Linked DNA regions of Pelodiscus sinensis. The protein of the gene in region 2 interacts with the protein of the main gene of each other region in a pairwise test. Links are inferred from orthologs where the notes say so. Each region holds a gene or a part of one and is shown on either strand. Other genes may lie near its edges.

The links. The genes of interacting proteins can lie anywhere in the genome.
Region 1: the proteins of MYOD1 (region 2) and ID1 interact in a two-hybrid assay, tested with the Homo sapiens proteins (5 studies listed by BioGRID). The link is inferred for Pelodiscus sinensis from reciprocal best matches to the Homo sapiens genes MYOD1 and ID1.
Region 3: the proteins of MYOD1 (region 2) and ID2 interact in a two-hybrid assay, tested with the Homo sapiens proteins (2 studies listed by BioGRID). The link is inferred for Pelodiscus sinensis from reciprocal best matches to the Homo sapiens genes MYOD1 and ID2.

What each region holds. Positions count from the first base shown.
Region 1 is NC_134728.1:1,841,178-1,847,507, reverse strand, and holds ID1 (DNA-binding protein inhibitor ID-1), read left to right. Parts: upstream 1-4,017; 5' UTR 4,018-4,197; coding exon 4,198-4,599; intron 4,600-5,087; coding exon 5,088-5,123; 3' UTR 5,124-5,527; downstream 5,528-6,330. UniProt on the Homo sapiens protein: Transcriptional regulator (lacking a basic DNA binding domain) which negatively regulates the basic helix-loop-helix (bHLH) transcription factors by forming heterodimers and inhibiting their DNA binding and transcriptional activity.
Region 2 is NC_134714.1:112,691,291-112,699,068, forward strand, and holds the start of MYOD1 (myoblast determination protein 1), read left to right. Parts: upstream 1-4,716; 5' UTR 4,717-5,048; coding exon 5,049-5,597; intron 5,598-6,965; coding exon 6,966-7,044; intron 7,045-7,693; coding exon 7,694-7,778. UniProt on the Homo sapiens protein: Acts as a transcriptional activator that promotes transcription of muscle-specific target genes and plays a role in muscle differentiation. Together with MYF5 and MYOG, co-occupies muscle-specific gene promoter core region during myogenesis.
Region 3 is NC_134713.1:28,837,523-28,845,505, forward strand, and holds ID2 (DNA-binding protein inhibitor ID-2), read right to left. Parts: upstream 3,304-7,983; 5' UTR 3,113-3,303; coding exon 2,765-3,112; intron 2,271-2,764; coding exon 2,214-2,270; 3' UTR 2,206-2,213; intron 1,462-2,205; 3' UTR 787-1,461; downstream 1-786. UniProt on the Homo sapiens protein: Transcriptional regulator (lacking a basic DNA binding domain) which negatively regulates the basic helix-loop-helix (bHLH) transcription factors by forming heterodimers and inhibiting their DNA binding and transcriptional activity.

The sequences.
Region 1 (6,330 bases), on a different chromosome or scaffold from region 2:
CGAGAGCCAGGGGCTCCACGTAGCCAGGGCCCCAGGAAGTGTCTGGCACAGCAAGTGCCTAAACTTGGCTCTGCCTCCAGTAGCAGGCGCCCGTCTCCTCCTCTTGCAAAGAAGTGAGCCCAGAGGTCGCCGGGGAGTCCAGGGAGACGAAAGAAAACCCCGAGTCATCTACCCCTGCGAGAGAAACCAAGCGCACGCAAATCCCCCCCCCCACCCGCCAATAAATAAACAGGGGCCGCATCCCCTGAATCACCTTCCGCATCGTGCCGTAAAAACGTCAGAGATGCAACTGGTAGCGTCAGCACTGGACCTGGGAAAGAGCCATGCGGAGGAGGACGAGCCATGGCAATGCTGCCCGAAGCCAGCAAAGACAACCCCAGGGATGCCAAAAACCAGCTTCTGTCCATCGAAACAACTAGGAACCCAATACGCCTCTTTTTCGCCGCGTGATCCCCAAGCGCCCAATCCTGCCACGCAGCCCCCATGCCACTCTTGTGGGAGTTTTTCACAGGTGGGTGGGACGGGGACCCGGCATCTGGCCAGCTGATGGAGGGGCATACGGGAGACCTGTGCTCAGAGAGGAGTTTGTGCAAGCATGGAACAGCGGGGGTGTCTGGCAGACAGGGCTGAGGCCCCTTGCAAATCTGATGTCAGTGGCTTTCGTCTGGCATATTTGCTCTTCCCAATGTGCAGCTAGATGCCACTGGAATAGACCCCATGGGGAGCCACGTCTTGGCCCTTAGGTCAGGGCACTCACGGGCAGGGGCGGATGAGAGTGCTGTGGGGCCCCGGGCAGCGAAAATTCGCAGGGCCCCTCCTTTGACACGGCGCATGCACGGGGCCTCGGGAAGTGCGGGGTCCGGGGCAGCCACCCCGCTCATCCTGCCCTAAATCTGCCGCTGCTCACGGGCCTGCATCCAGCGGCATTAAAAGAGCCTATAGCCTCCGGATCCAGACAGTGTTTGCCTGCTTTGCTCCTCTGGTGCAGGGTGACTCTTTACACACCGGGTAAAACTCTTCAGTGTGGGAGACTGAGATCCTGAGGGGCTGGTCCCACCCAGTGGGACCCCCAGGAATAGGGACCGTTCCCAGGTGTGTCTCTGGTAGATCTCAGCTGAGCACATCGGCTGTGTCTACATAGGCAAGATTTTGCACAAAAGCGGCCGCCTGTCTACATCGGCGGGGAGTTCTTGCGCAAGAACACTGACGTTCTAATGTGTGAAATCAGGGCTTCTTGTGCAAGAACTATGACGCTCCTGCTTAGGAATAAGCCCTCTTGCACAACTGTTCTTGTGCAAGAGGCCAGTGTAGACAGACAACATGAATTTCTTGCACAAGAAAGCCCGATGGCTAAAATGGCAAAAGCACCTCTCTTGCGCAAAAGCACATGCCAGTGCAGACGCTCTCTTGCGCAAATACTTGAATGCAAAAACTCTTGTGTTAAAAGTATTTGCGCAAAATCTTGCCAATGTAGACGTAGGCAATAACTGGCCTGCGGGCTGCACGCGGTTCGCCTGGGTTAGCTCCCGGCAGGCCACCTCTGCTTTATTTACCTGTACCGCCATAGGTGTGGGCCCTGGAAGTTCCCATTGGCTCTGGATTACCATTCCCGGCCAATGGGAGCTGTAGGAAGCGGTGTCTTGGCCTGCACCACTTTGCACAGCTCCTATTGGCTGGGAACGGCGATCCACACCAACAGGAGCTGCAAGCAGCCATACCTGCAGAGGCACAGGTACATGAAGCGGCCGCCCACCAGGGCCTATCCCTGGCGAACTGCCTCCATGTTATTGTCCACCCCGTTCTAGTTGATGGCCGTCTTCGGGTTGGGAAGGGAGTACGTGGGGGAGTCTCTGGAACTTGGACATTTTAAAATCAAGATTTGAGGCCTTCAGAAACTCAGCCAGAGGTTCTGGGCCAATTGCCTGGGACTACGTCTACATGGGCACGATTTTGCGCAAATACTTTTAACGCAAGAGTTTTTGCATTCAAGTATTTGCGTAGGAGGGCGTCTACACTGGCATGTGCTTTTGTGCAAGAGAGGTGCTTTTGTGCAAAAGCATCTGTGCCAGTGTAGACGCTCTCTTGCGCAAGAAAGCTCCAATGGCCATTTTAGCCATCAGGCTTTCTTGTGCAAGAAATTCATGTTGCTTGTCTACACTGGCCTCTTGCACAAGAACAGTTGTGCAAGAGGCTTTTTCCTGAGCGGGAGCATCATAGTTCTTGCACAAGAAGCCCTGATTTCACACATTAGAACGTCAGTGTTCTTGTGCAAGAACTTGCGGCCAGCGTAGACAGGCAGCATGTTTTTGCGCAAAAGTGGGTGCTTCAGCGCGAAATCATGCCAGTGTAGACACAGCCAGAGTGTGTGTGGGGGGCAGAGGGGAGAGGTGCTTGGCTTGTGACATGCAGGTCAGACCCACATGCTCAGGATGGTCCCTTCTGGCTTTAAAGTCTATGAGACCATCCCAAACCTCACCTCCTCCCACTTCTGGTGCAAGGCCCGTGTCTTTGACCTGCCTTCTCATACATGTACCTACCTTGGGCCCGCCAGAAATCCAACCCCCCCCCCCCGCCCCACACCCACATCTGGCCCCGGGCGCAGGAGAGAACAAGCGGGTGAGAGATGTTGGCCAAGGGACCCCCTGAAAGGCGTCAGACGCCATGGTGATGAATGAACGTAGTGTCACCACCGACGGAGGCAGGTGACCTGCAAATAAAACCGGGTTCTAACACACAAGCGGGAGAGAGAAAAAGGATGGTCTCGGCCTAGCCTGGGAGGCAGGAGATGCCTGCCGTGTTCCCGGCCCTGCCAATTCTGAGCAAGCGCCTTAGCAGCTCAGTGCCTCGGTTTCCCCAGGTCAAGCGGGAGTAACGATCTTTGCTTCCTACAGTGTCATGGGGGGCAGGAGGCTGCATTGACAGAAATATCTGCTTGCTTGCACTGGAAAACAACCCCTCAGCTCTCCCTCCCCCCGCATCCCAAGCCACAAACGGGTGTATGGGAATGCCCGGGGGGGCGTCCCGCAGGTGCGAGGGGGAGGGGCGGAAATGGAGGGGCTAGAGGAGCGACCGGCCGGGGTTGCAGGTGACGGGGGGGAGGGGGCGGCTCCCTGTTTGCGGTCTCCATGGGCACCGCCCGCGAGGCGCCAGGCTGACAGCGCTGGGGGTTTTATGAATGGGTGACGTCACAGCCCTGGCGTCGGGCGGTCTGCGCAGCTTGGGCAGTCCCAGAAGCGGCCGGCCGAGGGGCGGGGGCTCCGGCGGCTGCTGTGGGAACCGCGGAGACGCCGAGAGGCTCCACAATGGGCGGCCCGGCAAAGCGCCCCCCCCTCCCCGGGGGGGGGGATTGCAAACGCGCCGGGGCAACGCGGCCCAGCTCAGGGGGCGCTGCAAATGTGCACCAGGAGCCCGCCAGCTGCTGCTTCCCCCCCCCCCCCGGCCTGGATCGCGACGGAGCGGGGAAGCGCACACGGGGGTCTCAGGGACGGTTTCCAGGGGGCCTCGCCGCGCCCGGCAGGCTGCCCCCGAGCAAGGGGAAGGGCCTGTTGTAATCGACGCATCCTTGCAATCAGTAACAGGCGCTGGGTGCGGGGCCGCTGCCCGTGGGATCGGGCCCCCCTCCCCCCCGCTGCTGGGAAGACCGGATCCCGGGCTCGCTTAGCGCTGAGCAAGCCCCTCCCCCCACGCTGCAGCGCTGTTGCATGGGCTGGGGTGTGCCTGTGTTCAGCCTCCCCCCTCCCCCGGGCTAGGTGTGGGGCAGCTGGATTTGCCAGCGGTGGGGAGAGGCATTTGCCAGCACGGTGGGGGGGGGCGGTGTCGGAAGGGTCATTAAGAAGCGATTCCAAGCGCTCGTCGCCTTCCTTTCATCCTCCCCCTTTCTCGGCCATATGCCCTCAAGCTGCCTCCACCTGCAAGCCGCCCCCCGCCCGGGAAACCCTCCCGCCCCGACCATTTGTCTCTGCGCGGCACTGTCCCTTTAAAAGAGTCTCCGAGCGTGCTCCAGGGGGCGGGGCGGAGGGGAAGCTGCGAGCCACGCCCCCTGGAGGATGGCGCCTCGGATTGGCTGCGGGGGGCGGGCGCTGGCCCCGCCCCGCAAGGCCCCGCACTCTATAAGTAGTCGGCGCGGCCGGCGGCGAGCGAGTGCTCCTCGCAGGGTCCTGCCGCCGACGGATCATCGACCCCCCCGCCCAGCCGAGCATGAAAGTCGCCAGCGCCGCCGCCGCCACCTCCCCCGGGCCCAGCTGCGCCCTGAAGCGGGTGCGGCTGGGCGGGGGCGCGGGCGAGGCCGCGCGGTGCCTGTCGGAGCAGAGCGTGTCGCTGTCGCGGGCCGGCGGCGGCTCCCCGCGGGGGCTGCCGCTGCTGGAGCAGGCGGAGCAGGCGGCGGCCGCGGCCTCGCTGCTGTACGACATGAAGGGCTGCTACTCGCGGCTGCAGGCGCTGGTGCCCACCCTGCCCCGCCACCGCCGCGTCTCCAAGGTGGAGATCCTGCAGCACGTCATCGACTACATCTGGGACCTGCAGCTGGAGCTGCAGCACCCGCCGGCCCGCGGCCAGCCCCTGGGGGGCGGCCCCGACGGGGAGCCCAGCGGCGCTGCGGAGGTGAGACGGCCGGACCCCCGCTCCCCAGTCCCGGCTGCCCTCCTTCCCCGCGCCTCTGCTGGGCCCCGGTGCCGCCCCCACCCGCTGCTCTGCAGCCCTTGATTCTGGGAGCCCAGCCGTGCTCTTCCCGCGGGGTGCTCAGGCCGGCCTGCCGTGAGCTTCCCCATAGCAGTGCCCGGGGAGGGAGATGCAGAACGTCCCTTGGTATACAGGCCCTTCCCGTGATCTGGCTGCCAGCGTTGGGGTGGCCCTGTGCAGCCAGCCCCCGCTCCGGCACAGGCTGACAGGGTGGGGAAGAGGGACTGAGAAGAGTCTCTGCCTAGATCTGTGGGGCTGGCCTTCTAAAAAGCCCATCTGGTTGTGGGAGGCTGGAGTGAAGCTAGCTGTTGTGCCTGCTGGCCTCTGAGATGGGGGGGGATCCTGCCATAAGGGCCAGGGGCTGCCCTGTCCCCAGACTGGTGATTTACCCTTTGCCTCCTCCATTCCAGGCTGCCTGCGTGAGCGACAGGATCCTCTGCCACTGAGCCCCTGCCTGGGAGCAGGGAGGACTCCTAGCATAGAGGAGCAGTAGCTTCCTCTGGCTCCATCCCGGGGCGCTCTGGCTAGCGCCCCCCTCCACTGGAGCAGGCCGAAGGGAGAGCCGTGGAGAGGCAATCAGCGAACGAGGGCTCCTGAGCGCGGGCCGGCTGGGATCCTGCCAGGAGGGCCAGGCCCAGTGTCTGCAACAGCCCTGGCGCTGCAGCTGCTGCTGTGACATCAAAGACTCTTGAGACTTTTCTGTACCAGAGACTGTAACTTTATGAAAGCCGAACCCGTATCCTTCTCAGATGGCTGAGGAGATCCCCTGTATTGTATATTACAATGATGCTACCGCGAATATTGTTCTACAATAGCTGGAGTTTTTGTTATTAAACAAATGCTGATTGTTGGTGGAGAGCTGGCTCCTTGTCACCCCTGGCTCCCCTCTGCCAGTCTGGGGGGTGCCTCTGCCCAGTGCTTGCTGTGGGGCTTTGCTGGACTTGGCTCTGTGACCGGAGCTGGTCACTTGTCAGGTGGGGGAGCAGCTGGCAGCTCAGTTGCTTCCACAAGGCCAGGCTGCCTACATGGGTGCTAGTCTGGAGGCATGTGAAGAAGCTGGTCCCAACAGGTTTGGGGGTCACCAGGCCTGGCTTAGACTTGCTGAGTCTGGCTACTCAGGGCTGCAGGCGAAGCCAGAGGGATTCTGCCATGTAGGTACCAGGCCCTTGGCCTTTGAGTCCTATCCCAGAGTGGTAGGGGTCAGGCTGTGTGGGCACCCCCCCCCATCTCCAGCAGTAGGGCTTGGGAGGGCTCTGCTCTTTCTCCAGGGGTGGTGATGGGGGAGGCACCCCTCTCTGGCCTCTGCCTCCACTCCCCTGGTGCCTGTTGAGCAGTGCAATGACTCCTGCAGTGAGGGGTGACTAGACTCCCACGGCTGCTGTAAGCCCTGGCCCAGCTGGCCAGTTTGGGGACCGTTCCAGCTGGGTTGGACAAATCCCTTGATCAGAGGTGTTCAAAGGTGCTCTTCCCCCATTCAACTCCAACCCAGTTTGGGAAGGGGGAGCTGGGGGAGGTGCTCAAACAGCTACCAGCAGTCAAAAGCTACATCTTGAACTTTTTAACCCCACCAGCTGGGCCATGAATTGCCTCCTGTCAGACAGGAGTTCTTGCTTTGGCCTCAATAAATGCTAATTAGGGCACAGTGACACCCCC
Region 2 (7,778 bases):
AGTTCTGAGTTGAACTTGGGTTGTGTCTATTTCAAATATTTGTTATTCTTTTATGTCAAGAACAATGTTAGAGGTCTGACAAATACACACATACACAGTTGTACCCTTCCAAGCAGACACACCTAAACAGTTTTAAAAACTCATTTATAATTTAATTACCATCATTTTGTTTGTTTATTTCGGGATTCAAGGTTATTAAATTCCAGTTAATAATAACTGCAAAGACTTGTGCAAGTACCCTAGCCCTGTGGGGAATTTTTATCTGTGAAAAGTTAAGTCTTTTCAGGATTGGCCCCTTTAAAACGGAAGCAGAAATTAAAGACTCCTAAATTAGTAACCAAAATAATTAACATCAGCTAAAAAGCTAGAAATAAGTTATACTCTAAATCCCAAGCAATGCATTCTAAACAATATATTATGAACTCTGTAAAGGGATTCAAAGGGTTAGCTGTGTTAGTCTGTAACTTTAAAAACAATGAGTAGTCCTGTGGCATCTTAAAGACTAACCAAAATATATAGAACCATGAGATTTCATGAGCAAAACTCACTTCATCAGATGAACTGGAGTGGAAATAACAGAAACCAAGGGACATATATATATATATATATATATACGCACACACAGGCAGTCCCCGGGTTACGCACAAGATAGGGACTGTAGGTTTGTTCTTAAGTTGAATTTGTATGTAAGTTGGAACTGGTACATATTGTAGGGGAAACTCTAGCCAAACATTTCTCCAGAGCTCAGTTTTATTCTCCCACACCTCACTTCCCTCAGTCCTTTATTCTCAAGCTGAGGTGTCTGCTGAGAAAAGCCGCTCCGCGTCTCCCTGGTCTGCTGGGGGGAAGGAGCTAGTGCGGGGTTGCCTCACCCCATTTGTAAGTAGGGATCCGATGTAAGTCGGATCCATGTAACCCGGGGACTGCTTGTATAACAGAAAAAGTATCTGCTAATTAACCTATGTTAATGGGGCTAATTAAGTAGGTTGGATGCCCCATACATAGCCTTTAATGTGGAAATGTAGATGTTAAAGGCAGGAGAAATTGGCCCTGGATTTGTTTGGTGCTAACATTTTGTTCTAAGGGCCAAATTCTGCCAACTCTGTTCATCTCAGTAGTAATTTACTCCAGACACTGCACCACTGAAATGTCTGGGGGTACGTGCACAGCTAGGATACATCTACACTGAGGCACTATTTTAGGATACTAATACTAATCTGCATCTTGACAGCATGCCCATTATTTCAAAATAGCTTTTGAAATAACAGGCACACTATTCTGATGTCCCTGTAAACCTTGTTCCACGACAATTAAGGGACGTTTGAGAATAGTGATTTATTTCAAAATTTGGCGCTGTGTAGACTCGATATATACTCAAAATAAGCTACATAATTTGCATAGCTCAAAATGAGTAGATTATTTGAGCTAAGGGTGCAGTGTACACCTCCCCCCCCCCCCAGACAGTACTTAGTATGAGTGAACACAGGTGTCAGATTCTCTCCCTAACGTGTGTCTACACTCCACTGGAACTCGAAATAAGCTATGCAATTTGAGTTACGCAAATTGTGTATCCCATTTCAATGCTATTTCGAAACAGCTTACTTAGTCATTTGGTGCGGTCTACACAGTGCCAAATTTCAAAATAAAGCACTATTCGGAAACACCCCTTACTCCTTGTAGAAAGAGGTTTACAGGGAGGTTGATATAGCAAGCTTGAAAAAACGGGCTTGCCCTAAAGACGCAGGATAGCCAGTATCCTGAAATAGGTTGTAGACTTACCCTAAGTATTTTACTAACAGATGCTCTTAGGTGAACCGTAAGGTGGAGTGCAAATCTACATGCCACACACAACAGGCCATGTCAACCACCGCTGTTGCGCTATTACACTGAGGCGATAGCTTCAAATAGTTGCGAACTCACTCTCTTAAGGGGCGTCTGTACTAATGCAGTAAGCTTACTAGAGGAATCAATTTGGCCCTGAAATATAGGACTGCAATTAACCACTGCTAGGACACGTCTCCCACTCCAACAGGGGGCCTCCAGTGCCGCTCCAGCACTCCCCCACCCACGCACACAGCTGTTCCGTACGGTCTGGACGTGGCCCCCGGCTGGCCACGCTTGCAATAGCTCTGCCTGGGCTCGGCACACGCTGCCCGGCGCCAGCGGGCTCGGGGCACGGCAAGGCGCGCCCACCCCGGGAAGCTGGCGCCATGGGCAGGGTGAAAGGGTGAGTCTCTTCGCTCGCCTGCAAAGCTGCCCGCGCCCCGGGCGATCCCCACGACACGGGTTTCCTCTGCAGTTACGAGCAGCGCCACACGCGAGGGCTGCAACACGCTCCGGCCGCCGCGGGCCATACACCGCTGGAGAGGGCGGCGGCGCCCCCTGGCGGGCTAGCTGTGCCGTCGGGGACGCTTTTAGCTTTCCTGGTTGGCCGCTTATGGATGGTGAAACCCCCCCTGCCCGCTAGCCTGGTGGGACTCGGGGGAAGTTTCTAACCAAGCTCTCCCCGCGGAAGAGGCTTTCTGCGCCGGGCCCGGCAGGACCAAGGCTCCGCTGGGCAAGGCTCTGTCTCCACCTGCTGGCTCCTTCGCTGGCGTCTGGCTCCCCTCCTGGCTTTCTTCTGCCTCCCTCCTTCCCCGGACTTGGCGGGAGTGAGCCCAGGAGCTGGCGGCGAGGCAGCTTCCAGGAGCGAGCGGCGATGCTCCGACCCCAGGGCCCGAGCGGGAGCAGCAATCAACGCCCGGGACCGACGGCCCTTGCCCGCAGCGCCAGGCATTTCCCGTCCCTTCTCTCCCCCCGACAACACACTCCCCTCTTCTAGCTTTACACCTGGTTTTTCCGGGTGTTTCCGCTCCCGCGCTTGATCAGCCTGGAGAGGGTTTGGGAGCGAGGGGCACAGATCCTGGCAGTCTGATCAAAAGTCCGCGGGAGGGGAGGGGGGAGAAAAAGAGGGGACTGGATTAAACACTGGGAGGGAAGGAAAGGCGTGGTGGCCGCCGCCTCCTCTTTCTGCAAACAAGTCCACGTCCGAGAATTGCAGTGATCCGTAATGACAAGTTGCTGGTTAGACTCAGAATCCCACAAACCCCACGTAACGCCTTTCTGGGTCAAAAGGCTGCAGTGGGACACGAATCTAGAGCTAGTCTAATGTACGGCCATGAATCATACAGCCACCCTCTGGCGGTGGGGGAGAAGGTTAGCGATGGGCAAGGCCAGATGAATGCAGTTTGAAAGTACCACGCACTCTACCGCCTCCCTCTCCTCCCCACACAGACATTTCCTTTACTGAACGGTCCCCTCTCTCCAGTTTTCTCTTAAACAAGCTTTTATTCCTGGTCCCTATTCCCACAGCATTGCACACTGTAAAAAGCAAACCCGAGCCAGTAACGAACAAATCCATTGCATCTTCAGATGGAAGTCGAGGATCAATTGCAGTATCTCCTCTTTTCGAAATGGGGAAATGACAAGTGGGCAGCCACCAGGCTGGTCGGCACAGTGTCCAGGAAAAGGCGGATCTTTTACAAATCAAACTCAAAAGCATTATTATCTGGCCAGAGACATGGCAGAGCAGGGTCTGGCATAAGGTAAAAGGCATTATTATTACAACGGAGTCACGTCCGTTTAATGTGATGTGAAGGCTAGGTGGAAAGTTTTCGACCCATTCGATGTTTTCTGCTATCAGACCACAAATTAAGTCAATCAAAGAAAATTATTTAGAAGGAAAAACGCAGATAATATAGTAATCCTTTTTACCTCCAGACGGTTTCTCGGACTCCTTGAAATCAACGGAACCCGATTCCTAGATCCAAAATTACACAGAATTTTTTTTTTCATTTTTGAAAACGATTAGATGGGAAAATATTAGGTTCCTAGGAGAGAAACTAAAGGCTGGAGAGAGAAAGAGAGGGGGAGCATAGGTGTAATCCTAAAAACAGCATTCAGATCACTCGCACTTCCTGAAAAACAAATTACAAGAAAAAATATCAACCTGCAACGCGAAACTTTATTTCCATTTGAACGAAAAAAACGGTTATTCATATATTTAGAAGAGGGACAAAATTCACTTACAAGCAACACCGACTCAATACACCTACCACCATGAAAGATATATATTTAAATGTATGTATATTCCTGCCACTAAAGGAATTATCAATAAGTTGGTTCTCTTGTTTTATTGTCTTGTTTCTTAAACGCTGAACGGAATAGAACTTTTGCAAAGTTCAATACAAGAAATGAGAAATATATTTCTCTATCTCAGTAGTCAATGGTTTAACAGCAAAAATCTTTTGCGCTTAGCAAAGCCTCGGCAGGGAAGAGCCCAGATCACAAACTGAATATAAACCGTTTGTGTTTATTTTCTTTTCAGTATTATTAATGTAGAAGCCTTTACATGAAAAAAACCAATAATAACCTACAATCTTTGCATAAATACGTAAGCCCCTAAATACCATTAGAACAAGGGTGAGAACAGGAGCGCTCATGCAGAAAAGAGTTAAAATAAAGATGATCCCACTGTGACGCTTATTTTCTGGCTGCAGTTTGACATTTGCAGAAAGTTTCCTACAACTTTTGCCTGACAAGGGCTCCAGCTGCCCTCCAATCAGACGCGCCCCCCTCCCTGCCCACCCCGTCCAAGACCCCAGCCACTGCCTCCTTGGGACTAAGGGATTGGCCGGCAGGTGAAAGGGAGCTCGTCCTGTAAGAATCCCCACCCTCCCTCGAGCAAGGCTGCGGGATAAATAAGAGTCACAAATTGTGCTATCCGGATGGGCACCAGGGGAGGGTAATTCAGTGCCATGCCAAGGCTGAGCTGAACTGGGGAAGGGAGACAATCACCAGCCAAAGCTGAAGAACTCTTGTGCCCAAGCCTAGGAAAGCGTCTCTCTCCGAATTAACTGGAGGCCGTTGCGTGAGAGCGGCTCTGTTAAAACTCGGGGGGGACATTCAACTACATTCATCTGGCGGCTGGGAAATAATCTCCCCGGTTCAAGCTCGGCTGGGTTCCCCGGACGCTCTGCCCCTGCCCGCCCCGCCCCTCGGCTGCCCCCATGGACTTGCTAGGCCCCATGGAGATAACGGATGGCTCCCTCTGCTCCTTCTCGGCTGCCGACGACTTCTACGATGACCCCTGCTTCAACACCTCGGACATGCACTTCTTCGAGGACCTGGACCCGCGGCTGGTGCACGTGGGCGGCCTGCTGAAGCCGGAGGAGCACCCCCACCACCACGCGCACCACCACGAGGACGAGCACATCCGGGCGCCCAGCGGACACCACCAGGCCGGCCGCTGCCTGCTGTGGGCTTGCAAAGCCTGCAAGCGGAAGACCACCAACGCCGACCGCCGCAAGGCGGCCACCATGCGCGAGCGGCGGCGCCTGAGCAAGGTGAACGAGGCGTTCGAGACGCTCAAGCGCTGCACCTCCACCAACCCCAACCAGCGCCTGCCCAAGGTGGAGATCCTGCGCAACGCCATCCGCTACATCGAGAGCCTGCAGGCGCTGCTGCGGGAGCAGGAGGACAGCTACTACCCGGGCCTGGAGCACTACAGCGGCGAGTCGGACGCCTCCAGCCCCCGCTCCAACTGCTCCGACGGCATGGTGAGTGCTGGGGCGGGGAGGCGGCGATGCCCCCAGATCCCTGGGCGCGGAGGCGTCCAGGACCTGCGGGCCCTGAGATGGGAAAGGAGCCCCCCCCCCCCAGAGCCGGCCCCCTAGGAAAGAAACGGGAGTCCCCACGTGTACCCGGACTCTGGGATGGGAGATGTGACCTCCCTCCTGTACCCTGATCCGGGGGGGGGGGGGGGGGGCTCCGATGTACCCTGGTCCCTTGGAGGGGAGATGTGGGGGCGCCTCTGGGCGGGGAGTCCGTCTTCCAACCCTCCCCTCCGCCCCCCGTGAGCAAAGTGTCGGATGGGTTCTCTGGGAGAGGAGAGCCAGGGACCCCCCATTCTCCTGTGCCTGTTGCTCTTATCTCTGACCCCTGCAGAGACAGACCTGGGGCGAGTAGCTAGGATCTGCTGTGCCATAAACAAACGTGGGATTCATAGGAGGGTTGGTGAGAGACAGGGCTGTTTTGTGGCCTCAGTCACAGTGGGTGCTAGCACACTTAGATATCAGCAAGGAGATCTGGGGTCCTTATGAGTTACCCCTCTGCGGACATAGGGGCACTGAGGTTCCTGATCACCTGGGAGTGCAGGGCTGGAGATGTCTGTCTTGGGTTCCATGTTCTCTGACCCTTATAAGGGGAACTGGAGGGCAGGGAAGCTCCTGAGCCAGGTGCAGTGACACGGGGGGAATCTCATCATCTCATTGTACAACTATGGTTGGCCCTGGCCTCCTCTCCTACATCCTAACGCAGAATACCTCTGAGTTGGGAATCACAATAAAATGTTTAGACACATTGGGACAGAGGGCAGTTCTCAGAAGGGGCTGGTCCTTTCTGTAACTGAATATTTGAAGGAAGGGATTTATGTACAGAATCCCTCCTCAAAATACAAAATTCTCTTTTTGTGGTAGGATCCCTATCGTTATGTGTGTGTGAAAAGTACCAAAGGTGAAAATAAACCATTCCAGGCAGGATGTTTTCCATATGAAATGACAATGGAAATAAATTACTGGTGGGGGAAAACCTTTAAAATATTATGAGTTAGGTTCTTTCCCCACCATCTCTCTTAAATCAAGGACCAAATGTTCTGTACCATAATTCAAAGATACAGAGCAATCCCTCATTACAATGTTTTGAATGTTTCTTCCATGAGTACAGATATGGCAAAAATCCTTGCAATAATATAAAATATTCTGGATTTAGTATCTTCCCAGAAATGTTGTTTTCCCTGATTCAGGGAAGCTGAAAATTCACCAGGAACTGGGGCTAGGGCACAGACCAAAGACTGAAATATGAACTGAGATGTGAAAATTCTGCTTCTGAACTGGTGACATGCTGCATCCATTGTTTTCTGGTTTCAGTTAGAGTACAGTGGACCCTCTTGCAGCTCTCGCAGGAGGAATAGCTATGACAGCAGCTACTACACAGAATCACCAAATGGTGAGTATTTGTCTTAATGCCCAAGACAAGTGTATGAAGGTAGAAACTCTCAGTAAACTTTGCCTGCTCTTTCTGTCACTTATGCTCAGCAAACTCCAGAAGGAAAAACTCCCCAGCAAGCTGTGGGCAATGACACAGGACACCTCCCCCCCCCCCAACTGTTTCCGTATGATTCTGTTTGCAGATGTGGGGAAATCCTGCACATGCATTTCCTGTAATAATTATAAATCCTACACTATGCTTTGGCATGAATATTTATCCCTGAAAATGCTTCAGATTTTAAATTGCTTTGCAACAGAGACTGGCCCACCCAAAATCTTATCCAAACTTTGGAGAAGTTCTCATTTGACTCCAGAGCAGCCAACCCCCTTTCTTTAGCGAACCAAAACCCTGGCTCCAAATTCCTTCAGGCAGGTAGTAGTTCACATCCAAACTTTGAGGCATGGGCCCTTCTCTAACTTTTCAAGTTCAAATATTATCTCTGCTTTTTTAGTGATTGGCATCTCTCAATAATATATATTTGGTATATATTTCCATTGAATCTTTATCTGCTCAGAGCCATGCAAGGCTGGTGCTCTGGAAGAACTACCTCCCCTTAGCATTAATTACGCATTGGGTTCATTGCTTTTTTTCCCCCCTCTTTCCTTAGATCCAAAACATGGAAAGAGTTCAGTTGTCTCCAGCCTGGACTGTCTATCAAGCATTGTGGAGAGGATTTCCACAGATAATTCCAC
Region 3 (7,983 bases), on a different chromosome or scaffold from region 2:
GTACAGTACAACAAATGTCCTTGAGCAGTACGAGGGCATATATGCAAGAAATACCAAATCACATTTTGCTTTTAAAAATGTTAAGTCTCATTATCAGCTTAATTTCTTTCTGACTGAATTAAAGCTTGGAGCAGCCAAAATTTAATCAGTAACAGCAGTGATTTAGTTCAGTTCTCAATATCTTAGTCATATGGAGAAGCTGCTGCAACTGATTAGAAAACCCATTTCATTGAGCTATTGCATGGAAGCATGTACATTCCAGTGTGGAAAGGCAACAGTCACTTCATTATTCCAAATCACATGTTAACGCATCAGCAACTTTTGCATTCAAAGCCTTTTGCAGGAATTAAGTGGTTGGGAGACTAATAGCCACCCGCAACCCTTAATTCTGTGTAATTATTCAACGAGCAAGTTACCAGATCTTGGGCAGCACTATGGGAGAACTGAAAGTGAGTCATCAACTAAACTAGAGGGTGGGGGAAAAAAAATCAAACACCAAGGGTATCTCTTGTGACTAACAACTTTTGTGTATGTTTCCAAACCGTTCTTCAATAGCATCCTCTCTGTCATAATCCACAACTCTGGCAATTCCTTACACACTGTCCATAAGGTGTTCAGCTGAAAGTTGGAACATACATTTAAATAAGTCAAATTACAAGAATTAAAACTAGTAACTTAATAATAATGTTATTTATGTTCTACACATACTTGAACTGTTACATTGTAAAATCACAGTATCCCATACCCAGTAAACTGTTGGTCCCCAAGAATAAGGCAGGCACTCAGTTCAATAAACACACTTGATTTATTTTGTATAAAAAAGGGTTAAGTTTACAACTAAACTTTTATAAAAAGTTTAGCATGATTAAGTACATCATTACACTTTTTTTGCAGAAATGTACATTTCTGCCACTATACAAGAAAACTCTAATTAAAGAGTTCACAAGGTTTCACTCATACACATATATATATATATATATATACATACATATACATATACATATATATATATATATATATATATTCATATATAAATATATACACAGCATTCAATCCTAGGCTTGCATCAGAAGGTCATTTCTGACCATGGACTTCCCTAAGAAACTGAACACTGGGTCCTTCTGATACTCACGCTCCACCTTTGGAAAAAAGGCAAAGTCTGCTTTAAAATGGGCAATTCCTTGTGAGTTTTTGTTTCACTCCCCAGGCTGGGAATAGTATATAAAGGGCACCTTCCGACTAGGGAAAGGGCATTTAAAAGTCTCTTCATAAATAGCTAAGATCAGTCCAAGTTGAAGGGGAGGGAGACAATCTCAAGTTTCTTCTTTATTAGTTTTAAAAGGTCCATTCCATTAATTATAGATTCCCCCTCCAGATAAAGCTGAAAAATAAGTTCAGCACCTCAAAAAAGAAAAAAAAATCCTGCAGACATTTTCTTGTGGGGGAAAAGTCAGCAAACACCTGCAAAAGATTGAAAAAGGAGAATTTAGGAGAATGCTAACAGGGCAGAGATCCGGACAGACTGGCGCCAGAGAGGAAGCCACAGTTTGAACATTTAACCAAACACTCAAAGATTGGGCAAACCCTGGCGTCCAGATGCAAAACACACACACACAAAAACCCCCTCAAAAGCACAAATTAAACATTAAAATAACATACATTCAAGCAGGAGGGGGAGAAAGAGGATTCTCAGTCCAATCTCTATTTGGATCTCTGTAACTGCACTGCTCAGAGGCGCCAGTCTGCCTCTTACAGCAATTATTTGATTAAAAGCAGACACTTACTTAACTGATAGTGCAGACAATTCCACATGACAAAACTTAATGGATTATGCTAAAATCCTCAACTAAATCAGTCATTTCATATGAAGGTTAGGATTTTAGAAACAGAATTTACATTATGTGGTAAAATGTAAGTACAAAGAAATAGTCTCAGAGCAAACAGTCTATACTACTTATTAGCAAAGGCAAAAATACTCTTTCATTTGGGCTACCCCCAAATGAATTACTAGTGCAATTTTTATGGCTTAAATACTGGTTATAAAGGCATCCTCCAATAAACCTATTTGTATTATTCACTATGTCTTAAATCCAAGCCCATACACACATTTTAATCCCCAAAAATGAAAGTCCTTTAACCCCCCAAATGAATTGTATTTCACATTACATTTATTTTTTTAAAAAAAACCAAGCATGAAACACTCACCAGTGAATTTAGCCACAAAGTGCTTTGCTATCATTTGACATTAATTCTGAAGGGAATTCAGATGCCTGCAAAGAAGAAAAAATAAAACAGCACAGTGTTAAATACCTTACCAGCACAATAAAAAAATACAAAATACTCTGGATCATGAAGTTCATTCCATATACCATGCCATGATTTAGTTTCACAATGACAACCAGCATCACTAGGGCTGTCTAGGAATTGGGACATTTCCATCTATTTCAATCTAAAATTATTAAGTATTAGGGTTTTTTTTAAAGTAACCATTTCTCATGCCAGTCACTCCCTGTCATAAAAGCTACAGCTCTCTAATACTGACTCCCTAACAACAACGTCCACTGTCATTATTAAGCCAAACTCAGTCACTGTATATAGGCCAAGAAACAGGAGGGAGAAAAGTCAGCCAGGGTTAAGGAGACAAGGTAGGTGAGGTAATATCTTTTATTGGACCAACTTCTGTTGCTTAGAGATACAAGCTTTAAAGCTTATGCAGAGCTTTTCTTCAGGACAACACAACTACAATAACACTGTGTACACTTACCTGTAATGACAAGATGCTGATGTCTGTGTTTAAGGTGGTCAGAGGAGTTCTGGAGGAAGGATTTGGTCCTGGTCTCTGGTGATGGAAGCTGACAATACTGGGGTGAGAGTCTAAAGCGATCTGCAGGTCCAGGATGTAGTCAATAACATGCTGCAGGATTTCCATCTTGCTCACTTTCTTGTTCTGAGGGATACTGGGCACTAGCTCTTTCAGTTTGGAGTAGCAGTCATTCATGTTGTATAGCAAACTCATAGGATCATCCACGGGGGTTTTGCTCCGGGATATTCCCAGGGTGTGTTCAGAGAGGCTGTTTTTCCTGACGGATCTCACAGGACTGAAAGCTTTCATGCTGGAAGAGAGCCTGATTTCCAGGGCACAGAAAACACACACTAAGGGATCACTCTGCCTGCTTGACTGCCTCACTTCCTTTTCTTTCTCTAAGCAGCTGCCTGAGCTCAGACTGAAGCAGCAAGCTGCCTCTACTTGCTTTTATAGTGCAGGCTCAGCAGCTGCCAAACCTAGCCAGTGCTTACTGCCATTGGAGGCACCCAATGTGTCCATCAGACTGTGAGACATTCTCACTGGTACAAATGAAACCTAAAAGAAGGTTCAGGCCTTCCGCACTCTGAGCCAATCGTAGGGAAGGGGGCGTGGCTGTTCTAAGCACAGCTGAGGATAGTAAATACTGTACAGTAACTGCTGAGCCTCCTGACTCATTTTACAAAGGCACTGAGAAAGGAATGAAATGGGCATTATGCATTGTGGTTGCAAAGAGCCTGGTCGGATCACAGAGGATTCAGATCTCTTTGGTGCAAACAGACACTCCCCATATATTTTCTTTTCTATTTTAAAGAGCTAGCTTGCTAAAGTTGGAATGAAACATGTAGCAAATTTAGGATACGAAACTGAACTAGGCTTTGGGAGACATAAGCACATTATGAACATTTATATGTGTGGGGCTTGAGGGAGTCATACACTGATGACTATAAATACACCATAAGCAGATAGTCTCTATTGTAACATTGTGTCATTGAAGCCTGATACTTCCTGAAAGTTAAACTGAATTATAGTAACAAACCATTCTTTTAAATTATGGTTGTCTACATCAGCAGTCAGCTTCACTAATAAGTACTGTAAACTAAAACATTGCAGGAAGGGTATGCATAAAAAAGTCAAGTAAAGAAACAAAATCAACAGGAACTTTTTCCTGTAATGACAAAATACTCAGCTATAAAACTCACGCTCAGGGCTTTTAAAGACTGAGAAGACACTATTAGCTTGCTGTCAAATTTGCTATTAATTGGAGACAGGCAAATGTTGAAAATACCTTTGCACATATTACCTCTGAAAGGCTGCTGACCTAATCCACCAGTGCATGACATTACTGTAATTAATTCTGCATGGATTGATTTTAGTGACAAATGTGTGTATTTACTGTACTGTTGCATCTTTGCTTAGCACCAGTAAAATGCATCTTCCAGAAATACTACAAACAGGAATTATCTTGAGAGAAATCATCTTTGAAATTTTCCTTTTGCCCAATTGCAGTTTGCTCATTTTGTGTGCACTCAACTGCCAGATTCAGAACTAATTCCCAAGATTTTTCATACTACTCAAGGAAGGCTAAAGTTATGAAATCGTAAACTATCTATGGAAATTATTTTATTATTTAAAATATTTTTACCCCACCTCGCTATTTAAAATATTTGAGACGGCTTACAATTTTTTAAAAAATGCAATAAATATACATAAAGTAAAATATAAAACTCCAAAGAGGGTGAGGACATAAAAACCTGCTAAAATAGAGACACTGAAGAGGGACACTAACACAAACACAACTGAATACCACCAATACAAGCACGGGTAAAAAGGGTGGCTTTGACCTGGCATTATTTATGTATTTAAAATATTACTACATACTATAAAATGATTGTACAGTAACTTATTACATTTTCCAATACATATAGTTCTGTATTGCATAAAACCCACTTACATTAGATGGATAGATGTAAAGTCACTGTGGGAATTTAAGAACTGTATTAAAGAAGACACACAAGTCTTTGATTTATCCAGGTTGTTGGTTCCTTGTTGCCAACCTTCATCTTACTCCGAGGGGGGAGGACAGACATTATTGGCAACTGGAAGCAGAGCTCTATAGGGATCAATCAATATTTTCCTCCAATTAATGTTGCATTCCTTAGCTAGTATTTGGGGAGGTCTCTGACAGGACATTTTGCTGACTGCAACACAAGCTTATTTGCTTCAGGGCTTTTATCTAGGGGGTGTAGGCGGTGCTGAGCCTGACAAGAACACAATTCAATGATTTTGAAATGTGAAGGGTGAAAGTGAATCTCTCCATTCAATCTTACAGGAAGACAAGTACATTGTTTAAATACAATTAAAAGGCACAGTAAATAAAAAAATGTGTGGCAAATCAACAGCTTAATTAAAACAAATACTGACTGCAACTCCAATCCTCAGGAAATGCTAAATTGACAAAACCTCATTTATATTAAATCTGGTGATTTACTATCACAGGTTTTACCCTACGGACTTGCTTGTATTTCTGTTCCACATGTGCTCCAGTGGAACAGACTTTGTTTTGACACTATTATTGTTACAACAATAGCCAATATAAACATATCTTCATGTTTCTCTCATTATCTGCCATCCCTGGATAATGAGACAATGTTACAGAAACGTTCTCCTAGGCTTTTACAAAGAACTTGTTCATTCATAGGTGATTTTGTACTTTTATATTGAGTACTGAAGGCATTCTGGTTTTTTGTACTTGTTTTATAGAGTAGAATTATATATTAAGAGGGGCTAAGTAGATCACCATGATCACTATGCCTACTTTCTGGGTGAAAAGTGTTTTCACTTCTGTTGGGTAAAGGATTGACTCTTGATTTATGTTTACACACCCTGGTATTATGAATTGGTCTTAAGGCCTGTTTTCAAAGTTTCACTCTTTAAAGATTTTACAATTGACAGACTACCAATTTGGGAGTCAGGGGAGGGAATAACTCCTTTCTAATCCGTACAGTCGTGGAATAACTTTGGGTTTTATTGTCACACTGGGCGAAAGGGGACGGGATTTTATGTAGGGAATCTCAGAAAAGAGTACGCCGGACCTTGGAACGCCTGTAGCAACCTCCCTACGGATCTTAGAAAACTTTGCAAGCAAGGACTAAATGACATTACACCTGTGACTCCCTTAAAATGGCAGTCCTGTTTCTCTACCCCCAACCTCAAAACACTGCTGCTGCTAACATCTGGAAGGAAAATATGCGAGTTCCTGTCAGACAAAGCAGGGCTCGTCTGCTGATCTCTCTCCCGCTCCCCAGTCCCGTCCCCCCCCCCACAACGCTGCAGTGGTGACAAGGGTGCCCCCTTCCATAGGGCATGACCCCCCCGTCACTCCCACAGGGACCGCTCTTCTCTGGAGCACTGAGAGCCGACTCCCTGTGGTGAGCGGAGCTAGTGAGCCCCCCCCCCTCCCGCCTCTGCGGTGGGGAGAGGCGTGGAGCCCCCGCCGTGGCGCACCGGGACTGGGATCCCCGTAATGAGCCGGAGTGGGGCGCACGGGGGGATTCCCAGGCTCTCCCCAGCCGGGGCTCCGCCCCCACAGCTCCAGCCCCCGGGGCCGGGCCGGACCGCGCGGCGCCAGCCCCGTGACATCACCCCTCGCCTCCCTCCCTCCTTCCCCGGCCGGGCCCGGCGGCGCCGCTCAGGCGGCTGCCATGGAGACCGGGGCTGAGCCCTGGGCTGTGGGAAGCGGCGGGGCCCGGCCTGGCCGCCCCCGCCAGGGCGCACCTGCAGCCGGGGCCCCGCGCACGGCCCCGCTCCCCTCCCTCCTCCGGGCCGCCGAGCAGGGGCCCTGGGCGCGGCGCCAGCTCCCGCGCGGGCTCGTTCTGGGCCAGGCAGCTCCGCAGCTTGTCCGGCGGCAGCCTCACCCGGCCGCGGGGTGCCCCCCTTGTCAGCCCTACGCCCGTGAAAGCACGGCCAGGGGCCGCTGCTAAGAGCGGGAAAGGGCAGCGAGGCTGCGCCCTTTGGAAAGGTCTCGACCCTGCTGGCTCACCCAGCCCAGTGCGGTGGCTTTCTAGGAACCGGCCTCTGGCTTACATAAGCGGTGGGGCCTCCTGGGTTTGACCCTCACACGAAGTCCTGGGGAAATTGAGTTCTTCCTCCGAAGCAGAGCCGTCTGGCGGCACTTGGCTATCAGCCATGTATTTACCTCATCATTAGGGATCTTAAAAGTTTTCATCCCCCAACGCCGTGTAGTTGTTATAAAATGTATTTATACAAACCAACTAGAAATTCTACACAAGCCTTTAACTGCCATGTATTTACTCTATTAGACTTTATTAATATCTGTCTGGTATCCTGAGCCTTCACCTTATTGCTACAATTCAGCAAACTAAAATATGTTGGCTAAACAGAGGTTTGCAATGGACCTGGTGGAATCTCCCTCTAAGCTCAATTGCTTTCAATGGCCTGATCGTTTTTATTTGGCTCATGTTTCAGCTCCATTCAAATAATGCAGTTCTAGACTTTTTTGGGTGGGGGGAGACGAGAAATAGAGGGACAGCCTGCATGCAAAATATTTAGTTACAAATTCTGTGAAGTGCACTGATCTGTAACAATGTTTTCTGCTTTTACAAAGGATTTTCCTGTTATTTTGTTCCGGTCAAAAAATTAAAAAAAAAGAAAAAAAGAAACTTGGGAGAGATAAGGTCTGGAAAACAATCTGGATTTGCCAGTCTGTTGGTGGGAGCTCTGCAGGGCTGGCGTCAGGAAGTCTGCGCCGCCTTCTATTACTGTTGATCCAGCTTTGTGCAGCTGCACTTAGTACAATTAGCTTGTAGAAACAATCCTGCTGTAGGCAGCCTCTTTCCTTCAAAGTGCTTTTCTATACTGATCCCTTCACATCATGATGTTGGAAATCAAGTCACAAGCTGACCACTGTTTGGCCAACATCATCTGTGGGAATTCATTAACCTCCATCTCAGAAATGCAACAAGAGATTGTTTGTCTAGAACTAAACTTACATCTTAATATTATGATGTAGCTCATACAGGAAAAAACCTGTGTCCCATTTTTGTCTTTTTTGGTCATAACAAGAAACACATTGTGCTTAGAGAGTGGGGAATGTAGCTGAACCAAGCATGAGCCGGCTCCTGCTAAAACTTTGCCATGAAAGTGATTGTTTTTTGGTT